Linked DNA regions of Drosophila melanogaster. The protein of the gene in region 2 interacts with the protein of the main gene of each other region in a biochemical or structural test. Each region holds a gene or a part of one and is shown on either strand. Other genes may lie near its edges. The genes, in order: sw and nudE.

Region 1 (4,898 bases), on a different chromosome or scaffold from region 2:
AAATAAAAAATAATGAAAATATAATCAGCTATCGGAGATCGGAGATGCGGCCAAACCAGACGGGCTGGGAAACTAGTTTAGGTTGGCGGCGTGTAGTGGCTAATTAACAATACACTTTTACTCTCGCCCGATCCCATGTGGAAACCAGGTGGAGGTGGTTCTTGGAAGCCCGGCCAGACGTCTAAATCTGAAATTCAATTGGCAAATTAATTTGTAAACTAATCGCGCTGGCATCTCGACTTCGGTGCGACAGGTTTGGCCTGGCAATTAGCGCGGGGAAAAAGCGAAGATATTAAGTATCCGCTCATCGGTTTGCCAACTCCCGCCCATGTGCAAGATTTGTCGGCCTGGAGCAAAAAGTTGAGCAGTCGAAGATTTGGCAATTCAAGGTTTTTACTGCAGCATGGGGGATCATCGGAGCGATTCCAGTTCGAGTCCGGTTTATCAATGCGGTTACGAAACGAGCAACTCGGACTACAGTTTTTGGGTCGTCGAATGCTGGCATTTAAATTCAGATGTGCAGATGTGCAGATGCGCCAAATCGAATCGAAATAAAATCCCCAAAAGTTTCATGGGCGCTTTAACCCCATGAAAACCTCTTCCTTGGCACTTTGGATACGGTATCTTTCAGATACTTTCAGATACTTTCGGATACATTCAGATACGACCGAAGGCACGTACTACTGTTGGATTCGCTTTGCGCCCCGCGTTGCAGCAACATCTGGCATTGGTGGCACAAATTATGGCATACATTGTGGAAAGACACATCGCCTAAGTGCGCTTTCTATTTCCACGGCGGGTTCTGGTGATTTCACTGGCCCAAAGACGCGCATTGAATGTAATTGGCACTTTGGAGGGGCAATTAAAACACGACATATCTACATACATATGTACATACGTATGTATGTACATACTTTCAGAACCCTGAACGTATTTTGTAAGCTCAGTAGTTTTGAGTCACTATGGGAATTTCAGCGGTATTGGTAATTTTTTACAAGAATAGTCTTGCTTACCTTTCTTAATTAATTAATTTTTACATTTTGTAGTACTTCACACTCAGCATTTTAATCAAACAAATGCACAGGTTGTGGGCATTAATTTTAGCTGAATTTTAGACCTAAAAGGATTATTTAATTTTGTATGCATATGGGACATCAGTGTATTATCATTAAGGTACTGTGTATCAATTCGAATTTACCTACAGATACCTCTCTTGAATCTATAAATTAAAAGTTACGCTTCAGAAAGCAACACTGATATTTCATAGTGCATGTGTGTGAGTGTGCAAAACTTTTTTATGATAACTGTAAGCCACCTATAACATAACAATTTTAAAATGCGGCATATCTCTGTATTAACATACTTTTTACCTATTATTAATTATGGTAATATAATTATATATTAATCTAATATATTTATAATTAATATTAATAATTAATAATTAATAATTAATAATATATAATATAATATATATATATATATATATATATATATATTCAGTTTGAAGCTCTATTTAAGCATGATTTGTAGATTTCTTCCATAAATAAATATAAATATTAATAAATATAAAGTGTGTTGCAGTGTATGTGAAATGTAACTGTAACTAACAGCGTTCTGCTAAACGCAGTAGTGCTGCCAGATCGCTGCGCTAGTGCATGGAAAGACTGGAACTATCGCTGTCACGACAGCTGTTCACAGCTATCGCCGTACAGTAGTAAAATCTTATTCTTGTGTTTAAACTTGTGTTAATTAAGAATTCGGAATCCCGCTAAGAATCCTAGTCTTCCACACCCTTTGGGCATCTATGTAAACCAGCCGCGCCCATTATCTCCTTCGTGTGCCAATAACTGTGCGAAGTAACTGGCCGTGGGCGATGTTCCATCTCTAGTTAGTCAAAACATTAAAAGTCAGTCGCATTTTTACATTGTTGAAAAATGATGATTTAAGTACTTAAAAAGCAGCCGAACAACGAGTAAAGACAGTCAAGAGGTGGGTTTTTGTGCATTTCATGGAAAAATCACAAGAGCAGTGAGAGAAGGAAGTTGAAAAACGCAGCCAGGGCGAAAAGACGTCACAGTCCAATCGCTGGATTATTGATTTTTTTTTTTTGGCCGAGCAAAGGAAAGTAAAGTGACGGCCACTCACTGGGTTACCGGGAAATGTGCTCCACTTGGCGATAGGAGAACATATGAGTTGGCTGCGCCACGCCAAGCGAGCGGTGGAGAACCACACAGCGCACCCACTTTCTTTGCTTCTGGCCAGCAGTTGGTGACATCATCAAAGCTACCAATATTGGCGACCATTAATCATGCATCCCCCTTGCAGAGAACTTGGCCCGCCAGAGATCTAGAGTCCCGTACCGAACGCCCACTCGAACAGCAAATCGCAGCAGCTAATCGCCCCGAGAAATGGATCGCAAGGCTGAGCTGGAACGCAAGAAGGCCAAGTTGGCCGCCCTGCGCGAGGAGAAGGATCGCCGGCGTCGCGAGAAGGAGATCAAGGACATGGAGGAGGCGGCCGGTCGCATTGGCGGCGGAGCAGGCATCGACAAGGATCAGCGCAAGTGGGTTTGCCATAAGCTTCTCCTCAGAGCTGACTCAGCACCGCCATCATCCAACTTTCGTTCGCCTCTTTCAGGGATCTCGACGAAATGCTGTCATCGCTGGGCGTGGCCCCCGTCTCCGAGGTCCTTTCCTCACTCTCCTCCGTCAACTCGATGACTTCGGACAACTCGAACACACAGACCCCCGACGCCAGCCTCCAAGCCACTGTCAATGGCCAGAGGTAAGCCAGTTCATAGCAAAAGCTTTGTGAGTAGAATTACCATCTTAAGCAGAAGTTCGCAGGGCATATTAGACATATTCAGGTCATATAGGTATAGACATTTGATTCCCTAAGTTTTTTTTGCTAAACAACTGTAGAGACAGATTCCCCATCTACAAGCTTAACATAAAAAAATATCAGTAGTCAAAATTGGAATCCTGGTTAGAGAGCGTGGCAATTTTTACAATTCAATTTTAGCATTAGCCGTTTTAAAAATTAGTATTACACAGATTAGACAATGGGCTTAGTACTGATTAAGTTTTAACGATCAATGTATTGTACTATTGCTATTGCCATTTAACCGATTCCTAACTAATACCAATTTCTTATGTGCACCCCCCACCAGCGGCGGAAAGAAACAGCCCCTCAACCTAAGCGTCTACAATGTGCAGGCTACGAACATTCCACCAAAAGAGACACTGGTCTACACAAAGCAGACCCAGACGACCAGTACCGGAGGCGGAAACGGCGATGGTGCGTATTGCCCCCGGGGCGGGGATCTGGTTGGGCTCTACCGTAACCACTATCCATAGTTTGACTCCATCTCTCGCTACTGTTACCGTTCTTATTCTTGGTCTCGTTGTTAAATGTGTTTGGCTTCCCTGCTGTTTCCCAGACTCCGTCACCGTCCGCCGGAGGAGCAGTGTATCTATCTGTCCCTCTCACTCTCTCTGTCCATGTCTGTGCTCCAAACTCTCCCTTTCTGTCTGGTGCTAGCTTACACCGCTGCATGCTGACCCTGTTTCCGCGCTTTGTTCCCCATCAAGTGCCCCCAACTCCCGTCCCTCCCAGCAGAGAAAAAAAACAAAGATGCAAACAGAAACCATAATCCATAGTGAAATAAAATAACAAATACAGTTCTTTCTTGCCACTCCTCGCCTCTGTCAGGATATATGGAGGACTGGTGGCGTCCACGTAAAGGTACTAATCTTAATTTTAAGCAAACTCCACACCTAATCACACATCAGCACACGAAAGTTATTGTGACAAAACGAAGCGGCATACACATGTGAATACACGAAGAGCTCCATGTGAAGCGCCCACACGACTTAGTCTAAATTTGCTGTAAGGCTCTGCAGGCAGAAGGATGTCAGCATCGTACATGCGTAGACAATTCGGTGGACTATCTACTTAACTGCTTGAATTTAGACAGCTTCCTTTTGCTTTGCCTCGGCCCAATTTGGTTGCAATGCCCAAGAAACGTAGTTTCTGGTCGATTGATCATCTTATGACAGATTTCTCTTGATTTGGTCAATCCGCATTATTGGTTTTTGGTTCCTTCAGTGCTCTCAATTTAGCCCATCTATCCCAGCAATTGTTTTTGTTAGTTTATTTTATAAATGTTCGAAACTGGAAAAGCTCAGACACGATTTCAAAAACCATTCGTCACTATTTTGTATACTATGCAATATTCAGCACACTATCTGAACACTTCAATCCGAACTTTTAAAAATATAGGTTGTAAATGGTACTGCAACGCAATGTGTCATGTTTATCCCCTCTTTAAACACGCCTTTTTATAATTATTACTTTAATTTTTGTCGCGTTTTTGTAAAGGTTATTGGTAGCACTAAGCATTACACCAATTGGCCTTGTTTCGCTTCATTAACGCCGCAGTCTCGACTCATTTCCGCATGGCCACCGCTGTCCAGCATCAATCTTTCCATCCACATCCATCCATGTCCACATCCGAACCCATAGATCATTAGAGTGTAAACCGTTCGAGCGCATTTAATAATTTGTCTATTTACTTTCTCTTTCTTCCCTCTTAACTGTTTTTGGCACGCACGAAAAAAAAACTGCAGCTCATGCTACGGATTATTATGGTGAGTAGTCCTCGTTGTATGCGTAATTCCGTACTTAGAACTTTTCAGCCTCCGTAGCGGTCTGTGTGCCACTCGTAAGAAGCGTATCTATACCCGTAGTCCTATATATTACCATTACCTTGAAACCTCTCTATGCTGAACTTCTCTATATACTCACATTATGTATTTGTGTAGTTTGCTCAATATCTATCCACAACACGATCTATGCTCCTTAGAGTTTTTCTGACTTGCTTAGTGTACGCTTGATAT
Region 2 (5,245 bases):
GGCTCGAAACAACAACATCAACTGTTGTGTAATTCATAATATCGCAAGTGGTTTATACAAAGTCATTTTAGTTCAAATAAATAAAGAGGCAGCAGAAACTTAATTAATGCGAACAGTAACATTAAAGTAACGTAACGTAAACGTAAAGCCAACTGAACAGTATCCCGCCCTAGGTGATTGGGTTTCGGATTTGGGGTTTGTGGATCACGCTGAACTGCAGAATCCACACTACTCGGCATCCAGCGAGAAGCAAGGCAGTCCGGCCAGCGCCGGATGTGTGGATTGCTGGGAGGAGCGGTGTCGCTGCGGCATTGGCTGACCATTCTCGCGGTACGTCTTCAGTTTCGTCTCCATCGCCTAAAAAAAAAACACAAAACGAGAGCGGATTAAGCAACAGTCAGTGAACTATATGAAAAATTAACTATAGAAGGATTTGGGCACATCATATAATAAATAAATTAATGAAAATTTCATTTCGCAACGGTTTGCCCAGTGCAGAGTTTAGTCAGCAAGCCAAGTTATTATGCGCTTTCGAAACTGAATAAATCATAACGAACAAAAACAAAGAACATAAAATAAGGTACAAATAAATTTTGTATTTATTAACCAATGCAATTAATAAATGCAAGCGGAGGGCAACTAAAATTAGCCTTAAAGTTCCGAGCGCATTGTCAGAGCGGCAGGCTGGCGTCCGGCGAGTTTCGCATGCGCTCGGCGAAGCGCCTAAAAATGTTTGAGCCCGCACTGAGGCTTCCGGCGGAGCTGCAATCGCTGGTGGGCGTGGACTGGGCGCTACTGGTGGCCACTGAGCTGCTGCTGCCGCCAAAGGCGCGGCGAAAAAGACTTGCCTCGCTGGCCGATGGCGGCGGCGGCGGCTGCACACTTGCCGGGCGCTCACACATGCAGCGAAACTTTTCGCACTCGGGACATAGCAGTGCCTTGTCCCACTAAAAACATAGGGAAAAACACATAAGCCGATGGTGGGAGTGAAGGGTTCAAGGATCATATGTACATACGAAACAATGGATGAGGTAGGATGGCATGCTGGACTTATAGTTTGCGGAGGGACTTACGTTTAGTTTTCTTAACATGTCGGCCACAATGTTGAGCGCCGTTGTGCGGGAGCTGGGGTTCATGGAATTGCCATTGATTTGATTCTCGGGATCTGCAAGAGGAAGCACACGTACACAGCATGTTAGTCGAGAGGTTAGTTAGGTCAACTACTAGCTACAGACGCAAACACAAATCGTACAAAAATCGCCTACAAGAAATGTTGCAAACTCTTTCGTCACATTTGGGCTCTTAATTTTAATAATTTACAATACAATTACAAATTATGAGGAACTTAAGCGGGCTACATTTTTTGGTTAACAAGTAAAAAAGAAACAAATGGAAAAACAATACTAAATGCATGGCTTGAACGTTTGGCGATTCGTCTTGGACAGTTTTAGCGCGCGTCTGGTTTTCTTTAGGGAACTTAGTATCTTACTCTTAAGCGAATGCTGCTGGTTATATTCGTTTCTATTAACTAAACTGCCATTGAGGGCGTTGACGCTGACGCTGGTGGCTCTTGTGGCGACAGCATTGTCGTGTTTTACCAATTCGCCATTGGCAACAATACCATTTGGCAGCGAGGCGGACGAGTTCATCGAGCTGTTGACCGTATTTGTGTCGTTTGCCGTGGGAACGCTCGTTCCATTGACCACTGGGGTAAAGCGTGACTTGACGTTCAGCTCTTGTTTGAGATCTGCAATAGATTTGATGAATTAGTTTTAAAGTCTGTGCTGGACATCTGGTATAGATGCATCCACCTCTCGTCTCATCCATTAATCGCTGTAGTTTTTCCTGCAGCAATCCCTTTTCATCCACTTCCAGCTCCAGAAGGGCGTTCTTCTCGTAGGCCTGATCCAGCATCTTCTCGAAATTCTCTATGCTTTCGTTAAGTATGCGATGGGCACGTTCCAAATCGTCGTTTTTCTGCTCCAGCTGCCGCAGGTACACCTTCATGGTGTCGCGATCCTTCTTCACCGTTTCCAGCTGTTTCTCCATGTTTGACATATCGATGCCATGCGATTCCAACTTGAGCTGAGAATGAAATAGTTGTAAAGACTAATCTTGTCGGGAGCTCAAAGCCACATATACGCAAACTGAGTCTAAGAATTAAGCTCAGTTTGTGTAAATCGGGCTTAGCTTATAGCTACCTTGAGAGACTCGTTTTCCCGCTCAAACATTGTGAGTTTGGCTGTGAGATCTTTGATTATACTCTGCTTCTGGTCCAGAGTGGCGTCCATTTCTATTTCCATTTCGCGGGACTGCTCCACAAACTCGTCGTACTCCTGTTTCACGTCTGTCCACCTGAAAATTAAAAGTAAAACTAGGCTATATGGCTGATTTCGGAGACTGTAATAGGGATGGGCACTTACTCTTTGTGGTACTGCTTAGATCGTTCCTTCCAATATCTGCACTCATCTTCCACACTATTGAACATCGGGGGCGACTCCATTTCTGCAAATTTTCCTTAGCTGCTAACTCCTTTTTCTGGTTTTTGTGTACTAATCGGCGGTCAAAATGGGTTTGTAATTTCGTTCGTTCGAATTGATTTAACTTTTAATTTCTGAACAATGCTATGTACTACGGTTGGTCTATTACTGTTTGGGTTATTTATTCGTGTTTTTTGGCTGCTTTGTTTTTAATTGCTGTGATTAAAATGCCAAAACACAGTTGTTGTTCAAGTCGTAGTTTTACTTTTTTTTTGTTTTGTGTGTTGGGGGTGGTGAATAGACTAGAAGTCGGCGAAGAAAAGTGAAAAATCAATTAGGAACAGGTGTTTGCCCTGAATTTTGTAGTTACTGTTGCTGTTGTTCTTGTTCGATGCCCTAAAAGGGCAGTCGGTTTTGTCCATATCAAATGTAAATAAAATCAAATTAAACAAAACTCATTTTTGTGACGCAGCTGCTGCGGCAACAACAACGAAAACAACGAGGATGATGGTGATGAGCAGCAGCAACAACAACAACAACAAATAGCTACGACGAAGTTTCCCATACAACAACGCACTGCATGGAAATGAAATCATCGGTGATTTTTTCGTAGAATTCCAGTGTTTATACCTAGAATTTTATACAGCACGACTGTCCACATTTACTACTTACACTTTGCACTTAATTTTGCTACGTTTTGTTTGTTTTATTTACATAAAATCAGTGTAAATAGTTATGCTCGTAAAAATTTACCACTACTCCAAAAACGCACAAGCCAACCCTGGCTTGGGTTGCCAGTGTTGGCCAATAGATGGGCATTTGCCGTTTCCAGCCCTGGTCAACAGTTGTTATTTGAAATTTAATCAACATATAAAGTTTTACTCGGCTTTTTTTTGCGTTTACGTAGTTTTCTTATATATTCCAAATCATATTTCTCTAATGGACGTGCTGTGAACGTTATCGATTTGTTGGCCGGCGCATCGTTGCTGGTATCGTCCGAAATATGAAACTCAGAGTCGGAACTATCTTCAATTATTTGAGCTGAGCTTAGTGTTAAATCACGAGTGGAGCTGGGAGTTTGTGGCAGTGCTGCAACATTTTCGCCAACTACGCGCATGGGCAGCGCATGATAATGATATGATACATTTCGACAGGATTTGCGGCGTAGTTTGTGTTTTCTGCTTGTTTCAAAGTCACTTGAACTTGTGGACGTGTTATCGTCCCCACTATTTGAGCCTTCCCCGCTTACAGAATCCTTATTGTCAATTTTATTGGAGTTTTTCGTGATTTTAGACATATTTGTTTTAAGCCGCGCTGGATTGTTTTGGTTCCAAAAATGAACAATTTTTCGCTGATCTGTTTCTGGTTCTTTACCAAGTACAACGATGTGGCAACTCCCTGGCAGGGCCGCAACTGAAAAATCTCAAACGGGACATCGTTGCCAGATAGCTAGCCAGAGTGTGGCCAGATCGCAGCGACTGCAGTGCATTTTCAACAAAAATAAGGTAAAATATAGCACAATTATGGCCAGCAATTGTTAAACAATTAACGCAATTGCCAGTATTATAACCAAATGTCAACTGTGTGAGTGCGACAATCGAGCTCGCGTGGGCGTTGCACATGCAGCATCATCGAATTGATTAATTGCGGCGCATGCCGAAAAGTGAAAAAAGGGAGGATGTGTTTCAATCAACGCGAGTGAAAACCGCGACGAACGAAGAAAAAAAAAACCAAACTACTGCGGCAATCGTGAACAAAGAGCTCGTTGCGTCCGAAATTATGTGGCACAGCAACTAAACTATTGGATTTCCCACTCATTTTCCAGTTGAAATCAACGCGTTGCAGCAGCCCCCGCAGCAACAGCAACAACAAAACAAAGGCAACTGGAAGTGCAGCCTAACGGGAATTGCTCCAGCATATAGAGATTATAGTCCACACATATAAATATCCATTTATCGGAAGATAGTCCACAATGGCGGATCCAGAGCGACAAAGCCTGATCAACAAGGACGACGGCAATGGCTACAATTCCGTGGACGCCGTGGACGAGGGTGCCGATAATCCCGGCAGCAACTCATCGGTGGCCACAAACGAGGACGGTGCGTATCGTTACTGTAAAGCCGGGCATTCAACCCGCATCCAATCAGCCGGGCGGGCAACCCATTGGAAGCCCAACAAGTGTGCGGGCGCTCCACTTATCCGGATCCAACGCCGTGATTCCGAGTTGTCTGCTCGCCGTCTCATTTGGCATTTTCACACTTCACCCAACTGAGTCATAAATGCGTGTGGTTTGGTGCGGGGGGAGAGCAATGGGACTGCACAGAAAGAAAAACTGATAGGATATGTGGTGCCCAAATGCCATTTTAAATTATCTGCCATTTTTTTATTTTTTAATAGGGCCCAGTATTATTGGTATTACCAAAAATTTACAACCTAATATAAAATTTTCTTATTGGCCTAAATATCAAATGGGCCACGTACACCATAAAAAAAATGTAATTTTATCACGAAATTGTGAAGAGCTGCCAAAAATGTAAAGATCGATTGTAGTTAGTTACTCGACGCCGGTATCGGCAAAATTTTTGCACCGCCTTTGTTATTGTTTATGCTAGGACGCTCGTAATCAGCGCAAAAAGCGTTCCCCACAGCTGTTTAATCAGCATCGATTCGGAGGTGTTGCTATAGTGGTGGTTAAGCGGGGGCAGTCAATGAGTCCATGAGTCATCATGTCATTCGCTGCCTTATCGCAATACAGGGCGAAAATG

The links.
Region 1: the proteins of nudE (region 2) and sw form a complex in vitro, tested with the Drosophila melanogaster proteins (one study listed by BioGRID).

The regions. Positions count from the first base shown.
Region 1 is NC_004354.4:20,233,174-20,238,071, reverse strand, and holds the start of sw (short wing), read left to right. Parts: upstream 1-1,873; 5' UTR 1,874-1,989; intron 1,990-2,121; exon of another isoform or gene 2,122-2,268; intron 2,269-2,325; 5' UTR 2,326-2,408; coding exon 2,409-2,563; intron 2,564-2,637; coding exon 2,638-2,784; intron 2,785-3,169; coding exon 3,170-3,297; intron 3,298-3,681; coding exon 3,682-3,744; intron 3,745-4,628; coding exon 4,629-4,649; intron 4,650-4,898. UniProt on the Drosophila melanogaster protein: Acts as one of several non-catalytic accessory components of the cytoplasmic dynein 1 complex that are thought to be involved in linking dynein to cargos and to adapter proteins that regulate dynein function.
Region 2 is NT_037436.4:9,897,263-9,902,507, reverse strand, and holds nudE (nudE), read right to left. Parts: upstream 3,268-5,245; 5' UTR 3,153-3,267; exon of another isoform or gene 3,121-3,152; intron 2,783-3,120; 5' UTR 2,504-2,782; coding exon 2,424-2,503; intron 2,356-2,423; coding exon 2,202-2,355; intron 2,086-2,201; coding exon 1,812-2,085; intron 1,748-1,811; coding exon 1,490-1,747; coding exon of another isoform or gene 1,404-1,489; exon of another isoform or gene 1,311-1,403; intron 1,166-1,310; coding exon 1,074-1,165; intron 948-1,073; coding exon 672-947; 3' UTR 596-671; downstream 1-595. Other genes in the region: CG46387 (uncharacterized protein), read right to left, coding at 3,340-3,777; CG6707 (uncharacterized protein), read left to right, coding at 4,453-4,579. UniProt on the Drosophila melanogaster protein: Chaperone protein with functions in nuclear localization. Required for centrosome duplication and formation and function of the mitotic spindle.